4 separate regions of the Mus musculus genome follow, and regions 1, 3 and 4 are each reported to be linked to region 2. Evidence: microRNA targets listed by miRTarBase, many of them from high-throughput screens and not tested one by one. Region 2 holds a microRNA gene; each other region holds the end of a gene's coding sequence.
Evidence for each region. The annotated mature microRNA mmu-miR-425-5p reads AAUGACACGAUCACUCCCGUUGA and lies in region 2 at 1,441-1,463, opposite strand. An mRNA with a match to its seed (bases 2 to 7 or 8) in the 3' UTR can be bound and repressed. Matches are read on the target gene's strand: a 7mer-m8 pairs with bases 2 to 8, a 7mer-A1 pairs with bases 2 to 7 and ends in A, and an 8mer does both.

Region 1 (3,766 bases), not on the chromosome of region 2:
AGCAGTGCATCTGATTCACACACATGTGAACCTGGTGGCTTTACAACACAGCACACTGAAAAATGTTATGTTTGCTCTCAGGACTGCCTGACTTGGGGATTCCCTTTGCTGCCCAGCTGGAAAGAGCATCCCTACCACACGTGCTAGCCTAAAAGCCATCGAAGCTCTTGAGTGCAGCTCACACTACCTGCCTGTCACTTCTGTATCACAAAAGATGACCTGTAATTACAGGGTGCCATCTGCTCTCCAATAATCTGAACAAGATACACACCTCTCCTTCCTCCACCTTCTTCTGGTGCATTCTCAGGCCAGATGAATATATCTGAAAATAAAGACGGCCGGGTGGTGGTGGTTCATACCTTTAATCCCATTCCTCAGAGGCAGAGGCGGGTAGATCTGAGTTGGAGGTCATCCTGGTCTACAGAGTGAGTTACAAGTTAGCCAGGGCTACACAGAGTAACCCTGTCTCAAAAAACAGAACAGAGCAGAAAAAAAAAAAAAAAAGAAAAAGAAAAAAAGAAAAAAAAGACCACAGAGAGGAATAGAACTTGTATTGAGAACAACTCTTGTCATCGTGGTTGCATAAAAATGAGCCCAGTTTTAAATATGATCATATTTGATTTTTCTCCCTTCATACCCAGGGATTTTATCCTGCTTTTTGAATTACAGTGCCACAGGTAATGGGAGACCCGGCTCCTCTCAGAACGGAAGCATCAACAGTCTGAGAAAATGTAATTTGCATTATCTAGCACGAGCCACATGTACTGCATGTTTTGAAAACTAGAAGATAGGTTATCTGAACAGATTTTTAAACAAGTATACCATAGAAAAATAACCATTAAGAGTTATTGGTGGGCCAGCAAGATGTAGCTAAGTGGTTAAGGGTGCTTGCCGCCAAGAGTGACACCCTGAGTTCTATCTCTGGGACCAGGAGTGGAAGGAGAGAGCCAGCCCCCACTCCTGCTGTGGCTCCCCCACCCCCACCCCAAAGCTAATTGCTCAATGTTAAACCTGAAGTCTTAGGATAACCCACTTAGTTTCGCTGATTGGGAAAATCACAACATGGCTGGGGACACTTGTCCCTCATCCTCAGGGACATACCCTGTGCATCCTTATCACCAGGCTTCAGTTCCAACAAGCTCTCTATGGTCGGAGCAAGGTCATGCAAGTTTCGAGGAGCACAATGATAGGTAAGTAGTAGCTTAGGCTCTGAATTCCTCCCCTGTCACCAAAGCCAAGAACTTACTTTTTTTCATTCTCAGAGTGAGCCACCTACTAAGACCCGTAGCCCATTCGTTCTCCATTATCCCTCATCCCACATCTCTGTAGAAACTTGTAGTCTGAAGATGAGGGAATCCCAATCTTGCTCTATAAATATTTCACTCCCAACTCCTAGGAATGAAGGCAAACATATTTACCTAGCTTTTTAGTAGGCCATAAGACTTAAGTGCTCAAATAAAAACTAGGTATTGTAGCCAGCACTAATTCCTGGCTTTATTCTGTCTCTGGTCACTGGGCCCGGTCCTTAGCTCACCAGGCTGCAGATGCTCCTGGCAGCAGGAACACCGGGGGGCTGGCCGGCAGTGGCTTGGTGGGATTTACTCGGTTAATCTACAAGTGGAGGTCCCTTACCCCAGTGTCACCCAAAAGTCACCATGGCTACCCTTCTGAGCACACCTCACAAGCCCTCCCTGGCATCCGATCCTTCAGTAACCTCTCCTCAGTTTGTCAAAACTCCAAAGGGGAAAATCCCCTCATTCATACCCAGACCAATGTGCAGAAGCACAAGTCAGCGAGTTCTCCTTATGTAACTGAGGGTGCTCTTTTCCCCGCCTTTACTGAAAGGGCGCTTTGTTTTGTCAGGCAATGCTTTCCTGCTCGCTTCTATTTTTTCTGTGATTGACCCTCACTGTTATTTCTTTTATTATTATGCTTACAACTTCCATTCTAGGATATTTGCTATTTGGCCAACTTTATCTCATTTTTGTGAAAAAATGTGCTGTAAATCAGTGAAGATCAAAAGCTAAGGAGGGCAGGGGGAGAGGGCAGGGGGCCAGGGGAGAGGGTAGGGGAGAGGGCAGGAGGCCAGGGGGCCAGGGGAGAGAGCAGGGGGCCAGGGGAGAGGATAGGGGAGAGGGCAGGGGGCCAGGGGAGAGGACAGGGGAAGGAGAAAGGAGGAAGGAGCGCTATCAGGACCTCACTTGAGCCACCACATAATTTTTATAAGAAAACATTCATCTTTATTATTGAATCTAGAACCATTATTTTATGATATCATCTTTTAGCATACTCAGATGGGTTGACATTCAATGTGGACAGCAAGCTAGCTCACAAATCAACAGCAGGAGTCTCCAAGCAGCCATCGAGAGAGTGCAGCAAACTTTCCTTACTGTGGTAGGAGTTCCAGTAACCTCTGGATGTTTTTGGTAATGATAAGGAAAAGCTACTGCAGTCTAGAGACAGGTCACCTGCAGGCTTTAAAGACTGGCTGCCAGGGGCCACAATGACATAATCCAGGAGCCAAAAAACAAAAACGTAAAACAAAAAACCAAAACCAAACCAAACAAAAACACTGGAAAGGAACGGGAGATTCAAAATATTCAAAAATTATCATAGACAGATACTTGGCATACTATGATTTGACAGGTTTACAGTGACCAACGTAACAGCAAAGACAGATAGGATTATTTATACCTTTAGTATATAGAAGACAGATTTTTCAAGTCACAGTAATAAATCCTGTGACAGCTCCTGAGACAAGTCGCCTTATGCCCCGCACCCTTGCTATGCCAGTGAGAAATGGGAACACAGAAGAAAAAGTGGCTTACTCTATGAGATTCAGGAGGTCTTTGAAAAGTGACAAACTGTATGTTATTAAATGACAAAACATAGTTAGAGGCTTTATTTAAAAATCTCTCACTGTTCATTATCAAAGTTACAAGATTGTTTGCATACCAATAGACTGACTGTAAACAGGAAAGTCTCATTAAGGAAAGATGGGTTTACTGTAATTTGATCTTTTACAAAAAAATTACTGCAAGTTATTAATAACAGAATTTCTCTTTTACTTTCTTAAGTCTAATTCTATTGAAAATTCAACCAATGTTTCCATTCTCCTGCCTAAGGTTCCACCATGGTCACCTTAGGAAATACCCCACTTATTTGTTAATCAGAAATACAAACTGTGGCACATTTCCATTTTTTTTTTTTTCATTGAGCAAAGGCTTCGGCTGCATTGCATTTCACGAGAAGAGGAGGCTGCAGTGGTCCTGTGTGTCTCAGCGAAGCAGTGGTGCACACTCAGCCCTGCCCGGGCGCCCTATCTCTCATGGAATCTTCTCCTCCTTGGCTTGCAGCAGCCCGGGTTTCTGTTGCCTCCACTGAACTTGACTGAAGCAAGGGTGTCACGCCTCGTTGTCCTGACTCAAGGTGGTTCCATCTAGCGAGGAGGACACACTCTTTCAATCTGTTGGCTGGGGGACAATGCTAATATGAAGAAAGTTATCTGGGTAGCTCAGATGCTCGCTCAGCCACTGCAGAGGGGTTTCCAGCATTGGCTCTATCCCGTGAATCATCACCTGGCTCCTCTTCTCTCCATCTGTTCCAAGAAAGAGATCCAACAGTAAAAACCACAGGGAAAGAGGAAGACTTGCCTTTTCAGGGTCCTCAGTGAATTAAATGGATTTCAAACTTGTTCTATCCCCTCAACAGGAAATGAAGACAAGGAGAAAGTTTAAATGTTGCAAAATGTCTCATCCTAAACAGA
Region 2 (3,837 bases):
TAGTTGGAGCGATAAACCCGCGGGTGTCGGCGCGCAGCGCAGTACAGGGGCCACTCCGGGACCCTGCAGGCAGGAGACCGCACGGAACACGCACTCTGGCACCTGCAGGCAGATGTGTGTAAGTGGGCCGTAGTTCCGTGGATCCCGCTAGGCATGCCCCACAGGAGCGCACCCACCTGGCCGTCCCTGAAGCGCGCCTGTAGCGCGCTTCGCGGTGCCAAGAAGTCTCGAACACGAAGGTGCCGGGCATGGGTTTCCTTAAACCACACTGGGCTACCAGGCCCTACAGCTGCATTAAGGGCCTCCAGCGTCTCGCCAACCCCAAGGCGCCCGGTCGCCATGGCGACCGGAAGACTAAATGGAACAGGAAGTAAGTTATCCGTAGAGCTTCCGGGAGGTCCGCCTGGCGGGGGCGGGGATCCGGCCGTGGACTCTCCTGAATGGACCAGAGCGATCGAGCATGCCAAGTGAGCTTACATTCTACCCACGCCTCCAGCTCTCCCTCCCGATGGCCTTTCCTGTATTCATGAGCCCTAACCTCCAAATTTGAGGGTCCATTTTTCCTCCTTTTTAAAAAAATCGTCACCCCGAATTATTACTTTGATAACGGATCTTTGTTACCAGGCAAGACACTTTGCCACCAAAGTTTCACATCTTTGTGTTTATGTCTCTTTTTTCTTTTTCTGCCCCATTTAAACAAATTAAAGGCCAGACGCACGAGACGAAATGTCAAAGGAATAAGGCTGTACCATTAATGACACTTTGTTTTTCAAGACAGGGTTTCACTGTGTAGCCATGGCTGTCCTGGAACTCTTTGTAGACCAGAAAGTCCTTGAACTCAGAAATCCACCTGCCTCTGCCTCCTGAGTACTGGGATTAAAGGTGTGTGCCACCACTCGTGTCTTCCATTAAAGACTCTTTACCGCCTACTTGGAAAAGTAACGAAACAAAGCAAAATTTGAGTTCTGATTATTGGTACGCCTTTCCTCGGCTGCGGTATGGAATGTCTTTATTCCCAGTAAAAGCCCAATCGGATAGAATTGCCCATCTTGATACCCGAGGAATTAGTCATCATGATTCCAGGATTACCAGCCTTTAATGTTTTTCCTTTAAACTGGTGTTACCGGCACCTTTGGTTCTTTAGGCAACTGGTCAGTTTAAGACAAATGTGATGATGAGAAGACCCAAATAAGCAGAGCTCTCAGGTAGAGCAAGCTGCAGGTGAGCTTTTCTATGTCCAAACTCTTTCGTTTCCAAGTAACGTGAAACTCCACTTCCCCCAGTAATGAATGAATCCAACCGGTGAACTTTGCTCCGGAGAGGAGTGACATCTAGAGATAGGAAAAGTTCGGGAAGGCCGGGGCTATGAGGCCCTGTTTGGGAGGTGCCGAAAGAGCACTGGGCGGACACGACATTCCCGATGGCTTCTTGGGTGCCCACTCAACGGGAGTGATCGTGTCATTCCAAAGCACTTTCCATGCTGTGGTGTGGGTTCAGCTGCTAGCAGGGCTGGGACCCACCAGCAAGTTGGTGATTTTAGCTACTCTCCCTCCATGAAGACGGTTGGGGTGGGTTTTCCCCAGGAAGTGAAGATCTATCTTTAGCGAGCTGCGGGCTGGGCGGCCTTGTGGGACTCACCGCCATTGCGGCCCTTCAGAGAGAGGACCCAGGACCTCCCTGGTCAGAGTTCTCCAGGGATTCCAGACAGGGCCATCAGCCCGAGCTTTTTTCGTCGCCTCTGACTGCCACCATCAGTCTGGGGGTGCACCTGAGAGATGGAGATCAGAATGGCCCAGTAGTGTAGTGTTTCTGAGAATAGAGACCACATTATCTGGGCCAGGGCGCTGCTCAGGCAGGAGAGCAGGGAACGAAATCCAAGTGCAGCTGGAATGCTCTGGAGACAACAGCTGCTTTTGGGATTCCGTTGCCCGCTGTCCAGCCATTGGAGGAGGGCTCTTGCTCCCAGGTCACTCGCCCTGAGGCCAAACCGGAACCCGCCCATCCCTTCCCAGTGGGCTGAGTAGGAAGGAGTAGGTGTTTTAAACCAGTCTAGTGAGAATGAGACGCTCACCTGGGCCCCAGAACAATAGAAGGTGGGGGCATCCCCCGGGACGAGGTCCTGATCCGGATTAGATCAGAAGGGCTGGATTAGCCCTGTGAGTCCCAAGCAGGAGCCACTTGTACCGGGCAGGCTTCGGAATCCGTCAAGAGGGAAGCGATTCCGTGAGACCCGAGAGGAAGTAAACCCATGTGTCCACTTCTGGGACTCCCCAAAGCTTAGGACCTTTTGTCTGGTGACGGTGCCAGCTCATGAAGTGCCAGGGGCCAAACTGGCCCACATAGCAGCGGCAGGACAGCCTCCCCCCAAGCCCATTGCAACCGGCCCTGCAAAGAACCCCACAGCCAAGCCCCATTTGTGTCAAGCATCCCACCCGTCTAGTCCAGCGGATAGAGAACGCGACAAAGTTCCTCTGAGGCCAGGACAGAACCGGTGCGCAGAGATGCCCATGCCGCGGGACGCCAAGGACTCATGCGCCAGTAGGCCCTAGACTCAGCTCAAGACAGGGGGAGGGAGACTCTCGGTACGCGCGCGCAGAGCGCGCAAGGGCGGGGTGGTGCTCCAGGCGCGGTCTACTTCACGTCTGGTCCGGTTTGGCCCAGTCAGTCCCACTCGAACAGCTACTCCAGCACTGCCACGGCGTGCCCTTCCGCTGGCTCTAGCTGTCCCCAGACTTGGAGCCATTTTAAGGAGAAACCATCTGGCCACACCCCCTCGCGCTGCCGGGAAGCCAATCCATGCTCGGCCACGCCTCTCATGGAGCGCTGCGCCGTCGCCAACGGTCGCGCTGGTGACGGTTGGGGAAAGCAGCGATTTCGAGACTAGCTAGGGAAATTTTAGCCATCTGCCCCGCCCCCGGAGCCCGATTCTCCAAAGCCTGGGATTAAGGGCCTGGAGGCTGGCACCACACCCTGGCCAGGTGTTCATAACAGGACCAGGTGCGCAGCTGCCCCGCCCTGGTCCCTGGGAGCCCGAATAATGGCTGAGAATCCCAGGAACAGGCCGCGGCAGTGGCCTAAACAATACCCTTAGGGCGCCCGTACTAGCAGGTGTTTTTCCCCCTCCTCCTTAGGGACTGTCGCTGGAGGCATGGGGCGGGGTGGGCGACAGGTGCTGACACACCCGCATGGGGAGACAGAGGCTCTGCATTGGCCTACTGCGCCGTTCAAGGTGCGCGGTGCCCTCCGGGACGCAAGGGGCGCTGTGGCTACTTTGAGACAGACAACTCTGTCCCTACGACCGGGTCGTTAAGCGCCGTTGCAGCCATGGCTACTGCTCTAGGATTTCGCTGCCTTTTCCGAACGCGACCTGCGCCGCTCTGTCGGCACGTCGACCGGCTGTGGTGAGCATCCCCTGTCCAGCCTCTGACCACTTGGCCTCGGACCTTTCAATCCCGCATAGTCCGGCCGGGCCACGACTTCCTGACTTTAGCCCTCCGCAGGAGGAACCCGCGTCGGGGACACCGGCTTTCTCCGGCGGACGATGAGTTATACCAGCGGACTCGCATCTCACTGCTGCAAAGCGAGTTCCCTCAGGCCGTGTACATCGACAGCTACAGTAGCAGAGGCTTCACTATCTGCGGAAATCGCGTGTTTGGCCCTTGCGTGCTGCTCCCACAGACGGTGGTCCAGTGGAACGTGAGCCTTCTCCCCTACATTGAAATTTAAATAGCGCCAGAAGCCACTCCCTCCTAGCAAATTTAGCTTTATTTTGTTGCCTATTAGTGTCGCTGTGAGTAAAGGCTGTATAGATTTGATGTGTTGAATGGCCTCTGCTAC
Region 3 (3,837 bases), not on the chromosome of region 2:
TCCCTGTACAGTCCATGGCGATGTGTTCCCATGTGGTGTTCAAAAGGGGTGTAACTCCGGGTGGCACCATCGAAGCCGAGAAACAATCTTATAATCTCATCTGGCTGCTTAGGAGTGGAGGAAGGGGGAGCGTGGTGGGCCCAGAGAGAGGGTGGACAGGGTTTTAGCCTTTAACCCAAGCTCCTACCTGATGCAGAGTTCTAAATAATTCTGTAGCCGTTGAGCTCTCCTGGTCCATCCCTAGCACCAGGAAGAGTCTGGAGGATGCTGAGAGAACCACCTTCACTGTGAGGATCAGGGGTCCATTTGCAGGGGTGCATTTTAAATGCCCACATCCTGCCATGGAAAGACCTAATTCCGCAATTCAGCGTTACCCTCGGCCCTAAGCGTAAAATATTACGTTTTCCCTGCATCTTTTTAATACCCAAACCAGAACAAAGAAGAGAAATCATATTAACAATGTGCAGATCAGAACTAACCATCCTTAGGTTTACAAAAAGCAGAAGTGTGTATGTGTGCGTGCACGCGCGCGTGTGTGTTCAAACTACTGACCTATCCCAGTCTTTCCCAAGCTTGTCCTGAGAATCTGTGTAATGTCCTGAACCTTCTGCTTTGATCAGGAGCGAAGGGCCCCTCCTCCAGTGCCAAAGAAGCCGGCGAAGGGCCCCGCGCCGCTGATCCGGGAGCGCTCGCTGGAGAGCTCGCAGCGCCAGGAGGCCCGCAAGCGCCTGATGGCCGCCAAGCGCGCCGCGTCGGTCCGCCAGAACTCGGCCACCGAGAGCGCCGAGAGCATCGAGATCTACATCCCCGAGGCGCAGACCCGGCTCTGAACGCCGCCGAGGACCGTCCCGCATCCCTGCCCTCGGCCACCTCCCCGCCCCCTCCGTCTCTGAGCTCAGTGACAGCCACCGCCGTGGCGTAGTTGTCCACCTCGCAGGAGCCGTCCCCAGGCCGCCCCGCTTCCTGGACCACTTTGCCCATCTTCTCCACCGAGCTTCGCTCCCCCCGTCCTGAAGCCTCATGCAGACATCCAAACCCTTTATTTTCTGGGCCAAGCAAACCCACCTATGTAGAAAACGACACCTGTAGGTCACTCACATCCTCCTCAGTTCTCTCAAGCTAGTGTGTCCCTAGAATTCAGCAATATAAAACCATAGGGTATTTCAGAAACCCAGTATCACATAGGGTGATCCTTTGGGACTTACCGTCTTCCATGTGAAAGAAACGAGGGCTCCAACTCCCTTTATTTGCCCCCAAACAGTTACTTTTTACAAACAGAGAGCGCTTTATTTCTAATCTCAGAAATCACACCATCTCATTGGAATCAAGGTGACAGAGTGGGGACCAAGTTGGCCTAGGGTTGGGGGGCCTGGGTGTGTAAGAGAGAAGGGCGGAGTGCGCAGGTACCTGCATCTGTGCCCTCCCTCGCAGCTGTACAAACTGCCTCACTGGTACTTCATCAACCAAGCTTCAAATGTTTCAATCAGCAGAAGATTGTAAATTCGATCTTTCAGGGAAATCAATCTATTCTGAAAGGCAATAAAAGGAAGAAAGTTAAGGCAAAAGGGAAATAAATACCGGTGGGTTAAGATCCTCTGTAAGGAATCCATTTATTTACCTTAAGAAAATTTAGAACTGAAATGTGTTTTTTTTTTAAATCAACTTTTCTTGTACTCTATGTATTATAATGTCATGGCAATGGTTTTTAAATGGGAGGGTGGGAAAGAGTTGGTTCTGTCAGTTTAGTGTCCATCCTGGTGGGGCCACTTAAGGTTTCACACACGGAAGAACGTTTCTGCTTCTGAGGGGCGGCAAGGACAATGCCAGAGGAGAGTTCGGGTTCTCCGCCACCCTTTGAATGCCACACCTGTCTAGTTCACATTTCCCGGGGGCGTTTTCTCCTTTGGTTTCCTTTCACTCCAATACAGAGTTCACCTGTTCCCCAGCACAGGATTTTGTTCTATGTCAAATGAATAAAATAAAAGGTTTTCTACCCCAGTTGACACGCTGCCTCATTCCCAAGAGCTGTCGTTGTGATCCTGAAGTTCCAGGTAGTGAGAGAAGTCATTTGAGACGCAGGGGTCAAGAACAAGGAGGCGGCAGGGCAGGCGGCATTCATAAACGCTGATAGAAAGCCAAATCTTTGGGTGGATTCCAGGCTGGTTGTTGGCTTGCAATTTAGTCGTCATTGATGGGCTGTGTGTCCTAGCTTCCAGCTGAAGTCTTCAAATGCCCTTTACTTGCAGCAGTTTAAACATTCAGAATGTGGCTATCTGAAAAGATCAGCTGGCAACCTAAAGAATTAGAAATTTGTCATAGGAAAAAAAAAAAAAAAACGAAAGACTTAAAAGAAAAAAAAAATGCTTGTATCAGAGATGCTTAAAAAAAAAAAAAAAGAAACAACCAAACAAAAAAAAGAAACAAAACAAACAAAAACCACTCTCATAGCCAGGTGCTAATTTAATTTTCTTTATGAAATTAAAAGAAGGGATGGGTTCTGGCAACCAGTATTTTCAGACATATTCTAAAACCACTAGAGAATTTGCTACCTCTCAGAGCCATCGAAGCTTTGAGGTTCCTTTCTCAACAGGGCACAAATGTTTACTGCTGTGGTTTACAAGAAAAGGGCTATAACTTACTTTAAAAAACAAAACCAACAACTTTTAACTAGGGCAAAGTCAGCGCTGTGTCAAATTGGAGCAGAGATTTGACTCAAGTATTTGCTAGTTTAAAAAAAAAAAAAAGACACGTTTTCTTTACAGTGGAGCAGCAATGTAAGATCAGAAGTATTTGGGAGTAAGGCCAACTTTCACCTTGGGTAGCCCATGGTCACACTGATTCAAGAAAGATGTGGCATTCACAGAACGCAGCGTTCATTCTGGTCCATTCTGGTCCCACTTTGCCCCACTCATGCATTACTGCAGCTCCTTGCCCTGAGATAGCGCTGAGGTCAGTTTCTGGTGGGATTCCAGATCCTCTGACAATGTTTTCCTTGGGGACTGATTTAGCCCAGGCTATTTTAAAGAGAGACAAGAGAAGGCCTATTTATCTTGTCCAAGTGAACGGCATTTGTATATTCATAAGCTATTTTTGGTAAGAATTTTAAATCTCTTAGCTGAATGCCTGCAGGGCATCAGAACCTTTGCCTTCCTGAGAAACACAGTTTAAACTGTACACTTTATTAAAAAAAATAAAAAAGCGAATTATTGATATTAGGACATGACCCACACACGATACAGCCTGTTACCCACTGGAACCCGGAAACTGACAGCAGGAACATAACTTTTGTTGCGTTCTTCTTTTTGATGTAATTTGTAGAGATGTTTTTTAGTTCATAATGAACAGTGTATGTACCCTCAAAAATTACTTATTTTGTTTAACTTTGGTATAAAGGTGTTGGGCATTTTCTTGGGGCGGGGGGGAAATTACAAAAGAGGTTTGTCTCCCTCATCAAAAACAACAACAAAAATACATTCAAAGAAATCAAGTATTTATTATATTTTTTGCAGATGTTTCCATACAATTCACATAACCTTTTTGTAAAGAGAGATGAAGAAATGGATTAAAGATTTTTAATATTTGAAATGGTAAATAGAACTAATTTATTTGTAATATATTTCTGTTATTTATAGATGTTCCCTTAATGTTTTTCTGTGAAGTACTGCTTTAATTTAAGCCCTATCCTTGTGAATTTACCATTTCTTTTTTTAAGAACATGTCTAGATGCATATTTTAAATAACTGGAATGTAAATCATCAGCATATCTGAATTCCCTAATGTAATTTTTAAAAATTAATTTGGTTTGGGGAAAAAAAGATTCATTTGAAAGCCTTCAGA
Region 4 (3,837 bases), not on the chromosome of region 2:
TAGGGCACAGCAGACCTCCCCCTTTCAGAGCATAACAGCCCCTCTTACTTTAGTCCATAGCAGCCCCTCCCTCTTCAGGGCATAGCAGCCCCTCCCCTTCCCCAGCATTTGCTCCCCATTGGGACCCTGAGAATTTCCACTGCTTTGCTCAGATACACACTGTGGGGCTATAGGGGTCATTTCTGGTCCTGAGACGGGACCTTAAAGGGCCAAGAAAGACACATGTGCTCTTTGGGTCATTGTCTCCCATGTTTCTTGCCCCATCAACCTTTCAGTCCAATTAGAACTGTGGATTTATGTATCAGAAAACTTGACCAGGTGGTGGTGGTACACTCCTTTAATCCCAGCACTTTGGAGTCAGAAGCAGGAAGAGCTCCGAGTCTGAGGCCAGCCTGGTCTACAGAGCGACTTCCAGGTCAGCCAGGGCTACACAGAGAAACCCTGTCTCAAAATCAAACAACCAAGCCCAAAACCAAACCAAACCTTGAATTTTCCCTTCTTTTACAGTAGCTAATGGGTTTATTCTGTAATCCACCTCAGGATGTTGTAGGTGGCATTGCCTTCAGATGGCCCCTTCAGTGGCCCTCTCCTTGGGAGCCCTCCTCAGCCATTGTGTCAGCTAAGGACACTGCACCCACAGATACCCCCGTTCTTCTGTTTTGCAGGTTGCCAATGCTGTTTCTGCGAAAGGGACTTACAAGCAGATTCCTGGCTGTTTTAACTTCCTCCGGAAAAAGCTGTTTTTTAAAACTTCATGAGGCTCGGGGCTGCTCTCTGCCTCATTATTCTCTCCGAAGCTCTCATGGCTTGGAGCTGGCCAAGGCCATAACTGTCCTGCTAAGATAGGATTTTGAACTGGGGCAGGCTGCTCTTTCCCTTTGGCGATGCAAACATGCTCCTAGCAGCTTTCAGGTTGTAGGGCAATGTGGAGCAGTGGTCGGAAGAAGACCGGAGTGCAATGGATGCTGCCTGGCCCCTTCATCTGTGGTTAGGGATTGTGCCCTGGGACTCCCAGGCCTCTCAAGAACAGGGCTTCTCTGCCACTGTACTACTGACATGTGCGGTTGTATAATCCTGTCATGGGACTGCCTCGTGTATTGTAGAGGGTTTTAAGCTGTCTCTGTCCTCTACCTGCCAGCTGCCAGGAGCACCCCTCCTGAGATCTGCCAACCAAAAATGTCTTCAGACATTGTCACATGTGCCCTGGGGGACATTATAGCACTCCTCTCTGCTCCCCCACCCGGGGGGGGGTCATCAACCACAGGGGTCTATGCATCTCTCCTTTCCAGACTCAAAGTCCAGCTGGCCCAGTGTGCATACCTGGATCTGGGCTGCATCTCTTCCAAGTTACCAGAAGGGCTAATTCTTCCTTGAGAACATTATTTATTCTTCAACAATAAATCTTCGGCAATAGGACTGTATTTAGCCTGTATTGTCCCTACCCCAACTCTGTCCTTCTTACAAAGGAGACATGATTTTTCCTGCGTTTTTCTCTGTGTCTTCCAAGGTCCCTGCCCGAGCCCAGCAGGTGACCGAGATAGGAGTCAGGAGTCCCCACAGATCAAGTCTCCTGTCTGAAGGATCTTGGTTACCCTAGTGGGGACACCAGGACAGAGCTCTGCTGTTTGGGGTCTCCCAATCTCCCATTGTCTTCCTTGCTAAGTGAGCCTGGTCCCCAGGTGGCAGTGACCAGGCAGTACTGAAGTGCTGGGACTTCCTTGAAAATGTGCCCTCCCCTGTCTTTAAAGCGATTCTGCCTTTCACTTATTTTTCTTTCTTTCTGGTTTCCTCTACTCTTTGCTTTGTGAAAGTCCACTTGAGTTTAGATGGTAGATGTGCCAAGCCTTGTTTGTTTATTTTTGAGCTAGGGTCTTACTTTGTAGCCCAGGCTGACCACAAAATCTCCATACCACTGCCTCCTGGGTACCAGGATTATAGCTTGTCCCACTGCCCCAATCTCCTCCTGAAAGAGCATTGCTTTCAGGGCCCCGAGGTTAGGGTATCGGGGTAAGAAGACAGACTCATTCAAGGATGTGATTCTTAAATTACTTTATTACTATTTCTTTTCTATGGCATTTCCAGGGGGACAGTGGCAGTAATGTCTTCAGTTAGTTCCTTGCCATCACCTGCAGGACACACAGGAGAGAGAGGAGGTTAGCTGGAACACTGGGCATTGAGTTCAGTGACTCTCAGGGCCAAGAGGGGTCAAGAAGGGTCTTAGCCCGGAATCCTGCTTGGGTATCAGGCCAGGAAGGCCCGGAATCACCAATCATTACATGCCAAATGCACCGATGGGTATGTTTTGGTTTTTTTTTTTTCATGTTGTCTGTTTCTTTGTTGTTGTTGTTGTTGTTGTTTTCCCTGAGACTGGGTCTCTCTGTGTAGCCCTGGCTGTCCCAGAACTCACCATGAAGACAAGACTGGCCTTGAACTCAGAGATCCGCCTGCCCTTGCCTCTGAGTAGTGGTCTTAAAAGTGTGGACCAGTGCACAGGCCCCTCACAGTTCAGAATGGCAGGTGCCAGCTGAGTTCATTAAACAAGGAAAATGTGTTGATGGCTTATGGTGAGCAGACCATCTACACATGCAGTTGTGGGCGTTTCTTTGTTGTTTGTTTTGAGGCTGGGACTCACTATGTAGCCTAGGCTGGCCTTATTACCACCATACTTGGCTTCATTTGGTTGGTTGGTTTTGTTTGAGACACTGTCTCATGTAGCCCAGGCTGCCCTTAAAACAATCCTCCTGCCTCTTATTCCCAAGTTCTGGCCATTATGCATCTTTACCACCATCTCTGCCAATACAGGATCCTTTGTTTTGTTTTGTTTTGTTTTGTTTTGCAGTTTTGGCGTCTATGCACACAAGGCCCAGGTGAGCACAGAGCATACAATTGACAGCGATTGCCTCTGTGGATTGGGCGCAAAGGTTAAAGCCAGGGGAATCTTCATTTCTTACGTGATACACTCTTGTGTTCCTTTTATAAGCAATATTTTAAATAAAGCAATGTATTCCCTTCTGAACCAAAAATAAAGCTGTGATTGTTGAAGGCTCCCATGTTGGCATTTTTCCGGGGACATTTGCTGACTACCGGGGTTGTTTGTGCCTTTTATTGGTGGCCTGCTGGCCTCGGCTCATCACCTAAGGCTGTCTAGGCAGGTGTGTTCTGAGGCACCCCCTCAGGGTTGCAGCTGTTTCTGCCCACACACTAAACACACACACACACACACACACACACACACACACACACACACACAGAGCACCTTGGGCTGGGACCAGGTGAGGCTCCCATTGTCTCCTCTTCAGCTTCTCCAGGGACAGCTAACAGCTCAGCGCTCAACCCCTGCCTGTCCCCCAATGTTCTATGCACTGGCCACTCTCCCAAGAATGTAGGGGGCTCTGCCCTGGTACCAACAAGGTTTGCTATCCCCTTTCGGTCTTCCTGACTCCTGCGCCCAGCCATCTGCCTTGCTGTGTCTGCCATGGCTGGAAACAGCAGGTGCTGGGAAAACAGGTCACGCTTTGGGTCCCAAAGGTGCTGCCAGGCTCAGCTGTGTTCTAACTAATCCAGCAGCTGGGAACAAAGAGAGGATCTGAGGATCTGGCTGAGACAGAGCCCAGAAGCATCCTTCCACCCAGTCATGGAGGCTCCTTCGAAATGCTCTAAGCTGGTTTTCGATTTCCCTCTGTCAAAATATAGTCATGGCTCCCGTCCTCAGTTCACAATCAAAACAAAGTAAAACGGAAAACAAAACAACAAAAACTTCCAAACCCTAACCCTTCTCTTGATTATCCATTTTTCTCTAACTTACTTTAAAAAAAAAAAAAAAGCATCAACTTGCGG

Region 1: the mRNA of Atg5 is a reported target of mmu-miR-425-5p. The part of its 3' UTR that is shown has no 7-base or 8-base seed match.
Region 3: miRTarBase lists Dlgap1 as a target of mmu-miR-425-5p. Seed matches in the 3' UTR shown: 7mer-A1 at 2,312-2,318.
Region 4: miRTarBase lists Casp9 as a target of mmu-miR-425-5p. The part of its 3' UTR that is shown has no 7-base or 8-base seed match.

Annotation. Positions count from the first base shown.
Region 1 is chr10:44,362,748-44,366,513 of GRCm38, reverse strand. It overlaps Atg5 (autophagy related 5), which reads right to left. Exons shown (of 8, transcript NM_053069.6): 8 at 2,215-3,598. The coding sequence ends at 3,462. Among named protein-coding and RNA genes, the nearest start is that of Mir1929, 5.0 kb to the right of the region's middle.
Region 2 is chr9:108,566,415-108,570,251 of GRCm38, reverse strand. Mir425 (microRNA 425) reads right to left here and starts at 1,475; the gene lies at 1,391-1,475. Ndufaf3 (NADH:ubiquinone oxidoreductase complex assembly factor 3) reads left to right here and starts at 2,816. Exons shown (of 5, transcript NM_023247.2): 1 at 2,816-3,401; 2 at 3,501-3,696. The coding sequence starts at 3,325. It overlaps Mir191 (microRNA 191), which reads right to left and starts at 1,933; the gene lies at 1,860-1,933. It overlaps Dalrd3 (DALR anticodon binding domain containing 3), which reads right to left and starts at 360. Exons shown (of 12, transcript NM_026378.3): 1 at 177-360; 2 at 1-102. The coding sequence starts at 341.
Region 3 is chr17:70,817,405-70,821,241 of GRCm38, forward strand. Dlgap1 (DLG associated protein 1) reads left to right here. Exons shown (of 12, transcript NM_177639.6): 12 at 621-3,837. The coding sequence ends at 830. Among named protein-coding and RNA genes, the nearest start is that of Gm41609, 13 kb to the left of the region's middle.
Region 4 is chr4:141,812,930-141,816,766 of GRCm38, forward strand. It overlaps Casp9 (caspase 9), which reads left to right. Exons shown (of 9, transcript NM_015733.5): 9 at 666-3,049. The coding sequence ends at 758. It overlaps Cela2a (chymotrypsin-like elastase family, member 2A), which reads right to left. Exons shown (of 8, transcript NM_007919.3): 8 at 2,025-2,126. The coding sequence ends at 2,109. Among named protein-coding and RNA genes, the nearest start is that of Cela2a, 11 kb to the right of the region's middle.